Linked DNA regions of Caenorhabditis elegans. The protein of the gene in region 1 interacts with the protein of each later gene in a pairwise test. Each region holds a gene or a part of one and is shown in the gene's direction. Other genes may lie near its edges.

The links. The genes of interacting proteins can lie anywhere in the genome.
Region 2: the proteins of pak-1 (region 1) and nck-1 interact in a two-hybrid assay, tested with the Caenorhabditis elegans proteins (2 studies listed by BioGRID).

What each region holds. Positions count from the first base shown.
Region 1 is NC_003284.9:6,043,799-6,050,336, reverse strand, and holds pak-1 (Serine/threonine-protein kinase pak-1), read left to right. Parts: upstream 1-1,732; 5' UTR 1,733-1,738; coding exon 1,739-1,819; intron 1,820-1,978; coding exon 1,979-2,057; intron 2,058-2,105; coding exon 2,106-2,212; intron 2,213-2,760; coding exon 2,761-2,908; intron 2,909-2,956; coding exon 2,957-3,171; intron 3,172-3,215; coding exon 3,216-3,308; exon of another isoform or gene 3,309-3,457; intron 3,458-3,574; coding exon 3,575-4,142; intron 4,143-4,192; coding exon 4,193-4,266; intron 4,267-4,320; coding exon 4,321-4,443; intron 4,444-5,055; coding exon 5,056-5,127; intron 5,128-5,284; coding exon 5,285-5,443; 3' UTR 5,444-6,028; downstream 6,029-6,538. UniProt on the Caenorhabditis elegans protein: Required for hypodermal cell fusion, together with cdc-42 and ced-10, leading to embryonic body elongation, which involves dramatic cytoskeletal reorganization.
Region 2 is NC_003284.9:4,148,149-4,155,299, reverse strand, and holds nck-1 (NCK (Non-Catalytic region of tyrosine Kinase) adaptor protein family), read left to right. Parts: upstream 1-1,856; 5' UTR 1,857-1,880; coding exon 1,881-1,997; intron 1,998-2,625; coding exon 2,626-2,757; intron 2,758-4,542; coding exon 4,543-4,620; intron 4,621-4,677; coding exon 4,678-4,992; intron 4,993-5,033; coding exon 5,034-5,204; intron 5,205-5,273; coding exon 5,274-5,459; intron 5,460-6,039; coding exon 6,040-6,234; 3' UTR 6,235-6,647; downstream 6,648-7,151.

The sequences.
Region 1 (6,538 bases):
GTGTTCTTCTTCATTTGACCGCTATCGATTGATTTTATCTCCAACGACATCCTCCCCTCATCCGTCCGTTTTGCCCCTCCGCAGCTCTTTATCAATTGCCTTGGCCGCATCATCCGCGACCCACCGTACTAGTTATCTTTCTCTGTTTCCTCCATTCAATTGATAACACTAGAAAATGGCGCGCGTTCAACAAACACAGTGCCATTCTCCATTTCTAGCAAACAGTCCAGGTTTCGAACTGTTTTTTTTCTACATTGTGCAAAATGAGATTGGATTTCTTATCGACAGTGTAATAAAATCTTAGATACCTAGATTTTGTTTCTCATTTTTCTTTTTTTTTTTTCTTTCGGTTTTGTGATTTTCCTTTGGGTTTTTGCAGGTCTAGATTGTAAATATTCCCAAATTAACAGATTATGTAATGAGGATTCTCAAAAAATGTTCAACAATTTTTTATGGCGGTCTGAAATTTTAAAAACACCTAATTTTAATTAAAATTGGCTATTTTTTCATGTCTCAGCTGTTGGAAAATTTATTTTGAAGATTAGAATGTTTTTATTGCATATTGGTGATTTTCTTACATTATTTTGTTAATGAATGTACATTTAAAGCCCATACGTAATTGAAAATGGCCACAATCAACCCCCTATGATTTTTATGAGGTCTCATTATTAAATTTGTTCCTTTATGAACATTTTGAGTGCTTACAAGTAAAAACCCAAAACCGATACCCCTCCTTTAATCGAGAATAGTATTAGACCAAAAGTATCATCATTCACCGTTAGTATGAATGCAAACTTTTCAGCTTTTTTTCGGCTTTCACTTTCTAATTTCCTAAACTAGTTCTCAACATTGTCACTCACTCCGAACCTCGTTTCACAGTTTCTACTCTTTTCGGCTTCACACTTCTAGAACATTATCCGGCTGATTGCCACTTGGATGACAAGCGGGAAACAAGTACGCGAACACACGGTGGTGGGCGATAAAATGAAGTGAAACATGAATGACTCATATCATCACACTTTAAAAAAGATTCCCGTCTCTTCTTTTTCTCCTTTGAAAAATATTCCTTCTTCTTCCTCTGGCCCAGTTTATTCACCATCCATCATCTCCTAAACTTTGAAATCTTTCGTTTTGAAAACCAAAAAGCCATCTATCTTTTTCGGGTCAAACTCACGTCAGACGTTGGTTGCAGATAGGCTCTTTGAAGCAATAATGCAAATGAGAACTCCGAAGAAAAGGTCAAATTCTGGGTCCCACATTTTCCATAACTCCTACCCTGAGATTACTAAAAAAATATAGAAAAGCAATCCAATAGACGACCTCGAAAGGCGAAAGGGCCATGCTTTTTCGGTCCAAGATTACTCATAGCACTGGGTCAATGTCCTCTTTACACCATGTGTTGTGCATCCATTTCCCTGCCCGCTCCTATCAATTTCCTCTTTTGTTAGTCATAGTCCAACAATTTTTTTATAAGGGGGCGGTCAGCAATTTGTTCTTTCTTTTTCTGATTCTTTATTGTGATCGTTTTTCTATGTTTTTTTGACTCAACAAAACATGAATATTGGTTCCAATTTTCCTATTTTTCCAACAGTTTCGATTTCACTTGACAACGAAAATTCCTCCTAATTATTGTTTTCCTTTTTCAGTTTTACATTGCATACTGTATTCCTTCATTCTTTTTTGGTTTGATGCTTGTGTCTTCTTTTTCCAACAGTTTCAATTTTCCAGGCTTGCCAAAATGAAAGCTTTCTCATCGTATGATGAGAAACCACCAGCACCACCAATTCGTTTCAGCAGCTCGGCAACGAGGGAGAATCAGGTAATTAACTCGTCCCTCCACTCCTCCCCAAAGATGGGCGACAATCTTTCGAAGGTTCTTCTTCCAAATCAGATGATGCATGTGTTGCTTGCCCCTCTCCCACCCATCTCTATTTCTCTTTTTTCCATTCTCCATGTCTTGACTAACTCAATTTTTCAGGTCGTCGGATTGAAGCCATTGCCCAAAGAGCCAGAAGCAACCAAGAAAAAGAAGACGATGCCTAACCCGTTCATGAAAAGTAATATATTGCTCTTGTAACCATTCCTGATTTTCCTGTTTTTTTCAGAGAACAAAGACAAAAAGGAAGCGTCAGAAAAACCAGTGATCTCTCGACCGAGCAATTTCGAACACACAATTCATGTCGGATATGACCCAAAAACCGGCGAATTTACGGTCAGTATTTTTTCAAAAAGTTTTTGTAGCAGTTTTCCCACTCTTGCGTTACTTGCAAGATTATTTTCCAATGATGAACGAGTGATACAGCTGTCATTCTGACACCGGTCGCAACCGCTAATCGTACCAGATTAACGTGAATGCTAATAGTAAGCTAAAAACTAAAAACTACTACTTTTACTTTTTCCCTCAGTCAAAAAATCATTATAAACAAATCTCAATTTATAATAATATTTTGCAACCGTTAATTCAGTGCATTATCTTCTAAAAACGTGTTATTCTTGAAACCATGGTTAGTGTTAATAAAGCTTGCGTTTTTGAGACGTTTTAAGAAAACAAATCCATACGAGAAAAATTTAAGTGAAGCCAATTATCACGAACATGTATTCAACCAAAGATAGTTTCTTCTAAAGACCTATGAAATTGTCCCAATTTTTTTAGTATGAAGAGGTCTGTTTTGTCGAATAGACTTGAGAAACTACTGTAGAATCTTATTTATAAACTTTTCTCAGAAACTTTTGCTCCTTATCAACAATATAAATTTTCAGGGAATGCCTGAAGCATGGGCACGTCTTCTCACAGACTCACAGATCTCAAAACAAGAGCAGCAACAGAATCCTCAGGCAGTGTTGGACGCGCTCAAATACTACACACAAGGCGAAAGCAGCGGCCAGAAGTGGTTGCAGTACGATATGAGTAAGTAACCCGTAGTCAGTCTTGCTAATGGAGCTCATTCTTCTACAGTGTTTATAGATGACGCACCTTCTCGGACGCCATCATACGGACTGAAACCGCAACCATATAGCACATCATCCCTGCCGTATCATGGCAATAAAATTCAGGATCCAAGAAAGATGAATCCAATGACAACCAGTACAAGTAGTGCGGGGTATAACAGCAAGCAAGGAGTTCCTCCGACGACGTTTAGTGTAAATGAGAATAGATCGAGTATGCCACCGGTAAGTGGGAAGAATAATCTTGAAGTTCATATTGATTGCTTCAGAGTTATGCACCGCCACCGGTCCCCCATGGTGAAACTCCTGCTGATATTGTTCCTCCCGCTATCCCTGATAGGCCGGCAAGGACGTTGAGTATTGTGAGTAGAATTTTTGGTACTTGTGTATTACATGCCCTTAGTTTTAGAGTATTTTTTTAAGTTAAAAACAATAAAAACGTGTACCACATTTTTTATTTCTAGGTTTAGGAAATAATCTTTCTAAGCCTGGAGAGGAAAAATGTATATCACGTTTAAATTATATGGAGAAATGAATGAAAATTTAATTCAATTTCAAAATGAGGGCATGTAATACACAAGTACCGAATTTTTCCCAAGTTCTCTATAACATATAAGTATATTTTCAGTACACAAAACCGAAAGAGGAGGAAGAAAAAATTCCAGACCTTTCAAAAGGACAATTTGGTGTACAGGCCAGAGGTCAAAAAGCTAAGAAAAAGATGACTGACGCTGAAGTGCTGACTAAGCTCCGTACCATTGTGTCTATCGGAAATCCAGATCGAAAATATAGAAAAGTTGATAAAATCGGCTCAGGTGCATCTGGTTCTGTGTACACCGCTATTGAAATTAGTACCGAAGCGGAGGTGGCTATCAAGCAGATGAACCTGAAGGATCAACCAAAGAAGGAATTGATCATTAATGAGATTTTGGTGATGCGTGAGAATAAGCATGCAAATATTGTAAATTATTTGGATTCGTATTTGGTGTGCGATGAATTATGGGTAGTGATGGAGTATCTTGCCGGTGGATCATTGACTGATGTTGTCACGGAGTGCCAGATGGAGGATGGAATTATTGCAGCTGTTTGCAGAGAAGTTCTTCAAGCGCTTGAATTCCTCCACAGCCGCCACGTCATTCACAGAGATATTAAATCTGACAATATTCTTTTGGGAATGGATGGTTCGGTGAAATTGAGTAAGATTATAATTTTTAATGCTTTTGCAACCTACTTCTGTGAATTTCAGCCGACTTTGGATTCTGTGCTCAGCTCTCGCCGGAGCAAAGAAAACGCACGACAATGGTCGGAACTCCATACTGGGTGAGTGATGGAAATTGAAAAAGCGAATAGGAAATTAATGTTTGACAATTGCAGATGGCGCCGGAAGTGGTGACCCGCAAACAATACGGACCCAAGGTTGATGTGTGGTCCTTGGGAATCATGGCGATTGAGATGGTCGAAGGAGAACCGCCATATTTGAATGAAAATCCACTCAGGGTATGAAATATTTGCTTTTTTGAATTTAAGAAGACAACGCTTGATAATTGAAAAAAAAAACATGAATCTGAATATATGATTCCTTTCAATAACACTTGTGCTCGCAGAGTGTGAATGAGAAATGGAAATTTGTTGTTACAGCGATAAATTTGTTGCTTAATGAATTTCAAAAAAATCTAATTGGCCACTATTCCCTAGTAAGAATAGCAACCCCAGTTTTGCCCATAACGATCAGAAAATAATTTGGTTCAGGTTGAGGTCATGTTATTGAACAGGCGCCTAAGAAAAAATTTAGCAGAAACTTTACATTTTTCCGTAACTTCTCAGCTAACTTTAGCAACCAATCTCAAAAGTTGCAATAGTTGGGTAAAGTTGGTAAAAGTTAGGGATGACCCCCACCGCAAGATACAGATGTGCATTGAGAACTACCGAAAGCTGGGTAAACTTTGTTGAAAAATCGCTTAAGTTGAGAAGATTGAGACGTTGTTGAGAAGTTGCTGTAAAATGACGAGAAAGTTAAAGTTAAAGTTGTTTCAGCTATACTTAGGTTTTATAATTTTAGCTTAAAATTTCTCATCAATCAATATTGATCTTAAAAATATTTTTTTTCAGGCTATCTATCTCATTGCTACAAATGGCAAACCCGACTTCCCTGGAAGAGATTCCATGACTTTGTTGTTCAAGGTAAGAGAACTCGAGAACTTTCGAAACAGAAGATTTGATAAAAAAAATATTTGTTAACAGTTAGTCACAAATGTACAAAAGATGACTCAACTGCTACCGCAGTTTTACTTTACTTTCAGTACAGTATCAATTTCTCCCATTCTGTCCCAATTTCCAGGACTTTGTCGACTCTGCGTTGGAAGTACAAGTTGAAAATCGATGGTCGGCAAGCCAACTCCTTACGCATCCATTCCTCCGATGCGCCAAACCGCTTGCTTCACTGTACTACTTAATCGTTGCGGCGAAGAAGAGCATCGCCGAAGCTAGCAACTCATAATTATGATGATTGTATTCTCAATACACGACGTGTATTTCTTGTTCTTCTCAAATCTCAAGTCGTACTTACTTTGAAACTGTTTTCTTTTCTCTCCATCTCAAGTCATTTCTAACTATCTACTTTGAGCCCAACTTACCGTTTCCCAACAAAAAAGTCACACCTTAGTAATTTGTGTAATGTTTTCTGGAATCGATCACGAGTAAAAATTCAAGCCCCTTCATTATTTCACATCTTCCCCCTCTTTATCTCTTCTCGCAATGCACAATTTGGACTATCTCTTTTTTCTTGTTGTTGAGCGTTCCCAATCAGACGACACACTTCAATTATTTATGTAAGTTTTTTGTCTTCACTTTGTCTTCTTTTCATTCGGTTTCTTGCATTTGTGTCGTTCGAACGGAAATCTACAGTTAACCAGCTTTGCCCAAATTTCCCTATTTCTTTTTCAAGTGTCTGTAGGTGGGAACTATTGAAACTCTGTTTTCATGTGGTTTCCAATTTAAAAATCGGCCATAAGGTCAAAATCTTAAATTTTGTCTCATGACGTTTGAAACAATTGATCATGTTTAATAAAAGAGAGATGAATTTACTTATAGAATCAGAAAAGTTTTCAAAATAGTCAAATTTTGTTCAAGGAAATTGTACTATTTTCTTTTGAAAAATTATTTATTATTATTCCTGACCAGGTACATGGTATAAGGTAGTTTACCTCAAAAATTAGAAATGATAAATAGTTCATTTGAATGATTATGTTTAGACTATATATTTTATTCTAGAAATAGTTATTCTAGTAATTGCAGCAGCACAACTCAACTCCCACCACCACAATTTAGGTATATCTGAACTTTGTTGAGAGCAACTGTGCTAAAGGACACAAAAGTTACTCCAGAGGCTGATAATGTTGTCAGGCTGATTATTGATAATTTTAAAGGTTTTCAAGAACACGCACAACATATTTTAGCAAAACTTAAAAAATCAAGTCACATAACAAGTTGAATATGTGAATAATCCCTGTGAGTATTCTGGAACTATATTTTTCACCATAATAGTGATTGAAAGTTTCAGGAGCTTACAAATGTTTCATAGTGCTATAATGCC
Region 2 (7,151 bases), 1.9 Mb from region 1:
CAGCTGCTGCTAATACCCGCGCTGGTTGGTGACGGGGGGCCCCCCTAGATATTTATTCTCCGATGACCAGATTGCTAAGTGTCCCTTAAAGGATCATCTTGTTGTTATTTTCAATTCCCAAGTAAATCCTTCATCTATCCCCCCACAAACCATCTCGTCGTTCCAGTCTGAGATTTGAGCCAGATTCGCAAATTTTCCGCACATTATTTTGGCAATCCGTCTTCAATCTTTTCTCTCTTTTCTCCGCATTCCAATGCATTATTTCGGCCCCTGTTGGCCCCCATTCAAAACCGAAAATTCCCATCATTTGTCATTGACTCTTGTCCTGTCCGAAAATGTGTGTGTGTGTGTGTGTGTGTGTGTGTGTGTGTGCTACGAAGAAAACGATGGGGCTCTTCCAACAATTGTTGCCTACAATTGTCGGTTGTTTTTCCTCTGCTTTTTGTTTCTTTTTTTCTTCTTTTCTTCTTTTGCAAAATGGAGCATAGTCAATTACGTTTCTGGTTTGAAAAGGAAAATTCCAAAAAATTAAAATTTTAATATGAAAATCTGTATTTCTAAAATTACTTAATTGTGGAATTTAATACAATTTGGAGTCTCGTCAGTAAGAAATGTATTCAAACGCTCCTGTTGTTCTTTTTCTAAGTGTGGCAGTTTAATGTGTTGACTGAAATTTTAAAAATTCTAAAAATTCTAGGCCATATTGAACTACGATGGGTATTCTTTTTCGACAAGCAGGTATATTATAAGGCATTTTCTTTTATAATATAATTCAACCAAGTATCAAAAAATCAAAATTTAAATTAAAAACGGTATATAAGTATATAAGTTTGTAGGAGACCCTAAAAAAATTAATTTCAAATTAAAACTTTCATCATATTTCCAGAGCTTGAAAAAAGTTATTCTAGATTTGTAGGAAAAAGAGGTCTGAAAAATATATAACAACTTAACTTTAGCACTTTTGGGGGTAACATTAAATCCAGAAGTATCAATATATTTTCAATAAAGGCCTTACAATCCTAACTAAAACTTTCCCCATTTGCGTGATTTTCCCCATTTGGAAATGCTTACAGGCGCAAATAAAATTTGCCTGAAACCTGATTTTGCACTTTCAGAGGAAATGTGGGGTTTCCTATTGGTACTTTGGCTGGAAGTAATTATATGCCAAAGCCAGGCATCTGAATTATTTCCATTTTCCCATTGAGCCATTCGAAAGTGCACCCGTCTTGCTGAAAAATTCAAAGGCATCCTGACTCATAAGTACATCTGCCCAACTACTGCAGTTATTTTCTCGCTTGACGCCTTCTAACAAAATCCTGCTTACCTCGCCAACTTTTTATGACTATATTCATGTGTTTGCTAACTCCATAAAATAGTATTATTGAATAGGCAATGCTGCCCGCGTTATGCTACTTATTATTCACATCTCACCTTTTTCATTCTTCTTTTTTTGTCATACTTGATACGGCTGTGTGCTAATCTGAAAAAAAAAAGATTTTTGATACTAACTATAAGTTTAATATTTTTCATAACTTTCGAATCAATAAAAAAACTTTCCGGAACCCGTTCATGACACGCTTTGACCTACCAACATCCAACAGCCTAACTGACTTCTGAACAGATTGACATTGACCGATATATCCTAGAAAAATGTGGCGTACGTCGTCAGTGCGCCTTCTTTTTCTTTTTTCCGCTCACTAATGTTGATTTTATCAGGTGTAGGTGTAGTGAGGAGGTAGAATAGACGACGTCAATTACGAGTTGCGTATCCATCCCCTATTCATTTCATTTTCCCACTTGTTCTCCTCGGTTTTTTGCTATGGATTCGCAATTTTTCTCACCAAACCACTTTACAGGGTGTATTACATCGGACATTTGAAATGTCGGAGGACTATGTGGTCGTCAAATACGATTATTTAGCACAAGAGGAACAGGAGTTGACGATAAAAAAGAACGAACGGTTAAAGCTGTTAGATGATAGCAAAAACTGGTGGAAAGTGAGTTTTTATTGACGGAAAACATACTGAAACTAATGGTTAAATGTGAAAACAGTTTGATCCACTTTTCGAGAACTCTAAAACACTGTCGCATGTTCAATTCCCTGCTATATTGAAATTTTAATGTTTTAAGCATAATTAGAACATTAAAATAAGAGAAATTTATTTTAATCAACGACTTTTTGGGGAAATCTACATATTAGTAAGTTCTCACCACTTTTTGACTCGAAATAAAAATGTTCCAAAATTTTTTGAACAGTTTTCTATAATATTTGGTTATTTTAGCATCATATATAAATTTACAATTTTCTCTTTTCATTAAACATCCAGAAAAATTTATAATTTTTTCAAAATTTTCAGTCAACGTTTTGGTCGACCATATTTTGCACATTGACTGCACATTAAAATATTTCAAAAAACAATTCTGAAGAGTTTCATTATGATTGTTGGTCATTTTAGCAACATTTAAACAAAGCTTGCACTGACATTGCTCCACATCTCAAAAAAAAATCCTGGTACCAATTAGCAAAACTACTAATCAAAAAGTGTTCTACAAACCTTAATTTTTTTAAAAATAAATTGAGCCACTTAACGTTGTTTTCCCTCGGATCAAAACCGTTTTCTTCAGGTAATGAACGATTCAAACAGTGTTGGATTTGTGCCTTCAAACTACGTGCGAAAAGAATCAATTGTGGACAAAGCAAAAGGAACAATCAAGGGCTTAGCGCGAGGTCGCAACCGATCCTCAGATCCGGAGCCGGTGAGTGTTTCGTTTTGTTTTTTTTTGTTACAAAAACCCATCTCACTTCCAAAAAAAGCGCCAAACTGCCGCCACAACTAAACGAAACATAATCGACTGTAATGTCGCACTCTCAGTTTTTTTTTGTTTCCAAATGCCAAAACCAGTCTTCACGTGGAAGATTTGTATTTACACAAGCGCTTCCAGCCGAAAGCAACAGTTTGAATTAACTTCTAATTAGAATTGCCAACAGATACTTTATTTCTTTTAATTTTAAGGTACATTAAAACTAGTTTTGATATACTAACTTTCTTCCCAGAACATTCCAGTTTTGTTTCCTTATCATACAGCAAACAAAATCGATTTTTTGCTCCGTTTGTAATGCCATAAAAGTTTCTAGAATGATTTGTCATATTGGGGCAGGAATATTTCTCGTTGTCGGTTTTTTTATTGCAATTTTTATGAAACTAACTAATAGCATTTACAAATTTAAAGTTAATTATTTTAAATATTGTAGCTTCCATTAAAAATTGATATAATAGCCCAAATTCTAGTAAAAAATGATTTTGTCATCACCACAATAACTAATTGAGTGTTTTGCGCGTAAGATACTGCGCATCGTCTGAACTAACAAACTCTTCTTCCCCTGTTTTCCCAGGATTATTGATTGCTCGAGACCGTCCAAAAAGACCTCGCCGCGCGTTCTCCCGTTCTCCTCGCCGTTTTGACAGGTTCGTCTGTTTTTTGCGTTTTCCTTCCTCCACATAAAATACTTTTTTTGCTTTTCTTCTTCTCAATATCAAAACGGCACGCTCAATTTTTCGAATCATATTTTCGAATCGAAATATGCTGAACTTTGTGAGGCAAAAACTCCGTAATAAATGACCGAAACCGTTAATATTTGCATGTGTGTGCAAGCGGCGCATACTATCATTGCCCTGTTATCACACACACACACATACATACGGCTCTCCCGCGACAATGTATTCGGCGCAAATGAGACAGTCTCGGTATACAAGAGCGCGCGAAATTTCAACGCTTCCTATGTTTTTCCGTCTTGACGATACGTTTCAATCGCCTGAGGGCCCCTCCCGCTCTTCACCCCCTAACCAAAATCGTGTTTCGATGTGTGGGGCGCTGCATGCACATTGCCTACGAGCTCAACCGCTCACTTTGTTTGCATTTCTGACTGAAGGTAGCGGGTTGAGTCTGTGCTGCTGCTACTGGCCACGTAGCGCCTCCAAAAAAAAACTTGGAATTTCCGGCTTCATCAAATTTGTTTTTTTTTTCGCCGTTTAAGATCACGTTTCTAATTAAACTGTGAGCTTTCTAGGCGGGAAGAGCACTTCCTTATCGATTTTTCTCGTGCCATAAGACCTCCTTGCAATAAACATCTGCGTCGTCCCTCTAACTTGCCGAACTTAATACTTGTGTTAGAGCCCTACATTTTTTTTAAATAAATTTATTTGAAGTGAAAATTTTATTTTTGAATTTTGAGGCTTTTTGATTAGGATAGTATATTTTCTAATGTAAGCCAAAAAAAAAAGAGATTTCACATAACGATACACTATTTCTTTTGTGTTAGAACTCTACATTTTTTATAAAGTCAATTTATTTAAAGTGAAAATTTTATTTTTTTGGAAATTTTGGAAAATTGAAATTTTTTAGACTCCAGATGAACAAATTTCGTAATGAGAAAAATGGTTTTAAAATTTCTATGGCGCTTCAAAATTTTGAAAAAAAGCTCAATTTAAGCGAAAATCTCTAATTTTAGTACTTTTTTTGTTGTTGAAATTGATTTTTCAGGAGGAGCGATTAAACGGCATCGCGCGTCTAGCGTTCAGCTTGAATAACAACTGTGCGGTGACACCATCATCCAATAAGGTTTGACAGGCTTTTCAATCATAACTTATTTTAATCCGCCAACGTTTTTTTCTTCAGATTCCTATGATGAGCTCGAAAACGAAAGCTGTGGTGAAATTCACTTACGAGCCAAGACTTGAAGATGAGCTCGGTCTCACAAAAGGAGATTTCGTTTATGTCGTCGAGAAAAGCACAGATGGGTGGTGGAAGGGAGAAGCACCGAATGGAGGAGTCGGATGGTTCCCGTCAAACTATGTGGAGGAAGTTGAAGCTTCGACAAACGGAAATCAGGGAAGCATTGAGAACCGAAACCCAGCAGCTGCAGCAGTTCCAGCGCCCATAATGATGCAAGCACCACCGCCGAAGCTCCAGGCGTCACGGTCTTCATTTGAAGTAGGATTTACCCCAATGCAATTTAATAATCATTTTCATAGATTCAGGTCGTCGTTGCATTGTACTCGTTCGACGCATCATCATCTGAAGAACTATCGTTCAAAAAAGGAGAACGGCTCGAAATCGTGGATCATCCAGAACATGACCCCGATTGGTGGATGGCGCGCAACGCCAGTGGAACCACAGGGCTTGTGCCAAGAAATTACATTGAGGTAGTGCATTTAATCGCCTAAAAATTCCGAGAAAAATTGCCCGAATCTGAAACAATTAGAACATTTCAGGTGGTCAACGACTCATCATCCAGCAAAGCTTCACATCAAGATTTCGCACCGCAATATTCAGGAAACGGAGAAATTCCGATGGAGCAACAGCCGTGGTATTTTGGACGCATCTCGAGGGAACGTGCTGAAGATCTTCTACTACATGGTCGTGAGGGAGAGTTTCTGGTCAGAGATTCGGAGAGCAATGTGAGCATTTTTTGGAATTTTTCAAACGGTGTCTTTCCAAATAGTCGCAAGCTTTCAACCATTCCTAGCAACTTTAGAAATGCCAATTTCAGAAGTTGCAAAAGTTGGTTGAGAAGTTGTGGGATACTAAAGTTGTTCAAACAGTTGCCAAAGTTGGTGAAGTATAGTCACAAAGTTGCTAATATTGGTTTTAAAACTAAAATCGACGAATAAGGAGATTCAAGTTGTTTAAGAAGTTGTTAAATTTAGTTTTATTTTAAACTTAGTGCAAAAAAAATCCAAAAGAATGAAGGCTGGCAAGAGGCTACAATTAGTTTAAAAATGGCAGCAAATGACCGAGATACTACGAAATTAATTACCAAAATCAAGGACCGCAAAGGAAAAAAAAACGTTCTAGCGTTTGATTTGAACATTTTCACTCCAAACTATATATTACAGTTAATACGCTTTCATTCTGATCAGAATACAATCTAAATTAAAATCAATCTTCATTGACAGTATCCCATTTGAATATTGCTAGGAAGACAATACCAAAAATGGATATTTTCAACCATTTAATATTAAATTCAATTTTTTTCAGCCTGGAGACTTGTCGATCTCAATGCGCGGAATCGAACGCAACAAGCATTTCAAAGTGCAAAACGTGGATGGTCTCCTGAAAATTGGAAACCGAACGTTTGTGGACATGAATGCTCTTATCAATCACTACACAACCAGCCCAATTTTCTCGTCGCCAACGGAGAAGCTGTTTTTGACCGGTCCTCTTCCCAAGTAAACTACTTGTTCAAAATTTCAATGCAATATTCTTATAAGCTCATTCTTAACAATTGTTGTTTTCTTGTCTTCTTTGCAGCAATCCATTTTTTTTCTGGACAAAGCAAGTGAAAATCTCTTTCGTCATTTCTATCACTAGCCCTGTGTTTAGATATGTTTACTGATTTGCCATCCGCCGTTTTTGATAAATTGAACGGTTGATCACGGTTTCAGATATATTTCTCATTTTTTCTTTGGTTCTTTTTCTTTTCATTCAAGTTTGTAATTTTATCAAATAATTGTCCTTAACTCACACTTTCCATTCATCTCTTCTTCAATTGTCTTTTGCTCCACTTCACAACGCTGCGTTGTTTCAGAATATTATTTTCAATTCCAATTGCCATATGTGATAACTGTAAATGAATTTTCAAGTGGGCATATTTCAGATTTTTTTAATTGTTACAATTTTTCAGGTTTCAATTTTTGTACAACGCGATTTCCGGATGTGAAATGAAACATGACATTATTGAAGGTTTTTATAAATATTTTTTAGAGTATCCGAAATTCTTCACATTTTTGTTGTTAAAATTTTAAATTTATCATAAATTCAAAATTGGAGTTTTTTTGCCAATTATAATTTAAAAAATTGACCAAAAAAGCTTTTAACAATTTTTTACTTTGTAGCGGTCTGAAACTGTGGAAATGCTTTACATTTCTTAAATTTGCCAAAATTTTAATTAACACATTTTGAAATAAAACTTTTAAACAAATTTACCAACATTTTTCTAGCGGTTTAAATTTTTGAAAACAAGGTTAATAACTTTTATTTGATTGTGGTTTTAATTGTAAACTGGCAATTCATCTCAAATTATTTTGTGGTAGCAAACTTGTAAATTTGCAAACAAGCTAATTTGTTAATCGGCAAAAAAAATTGAAAAT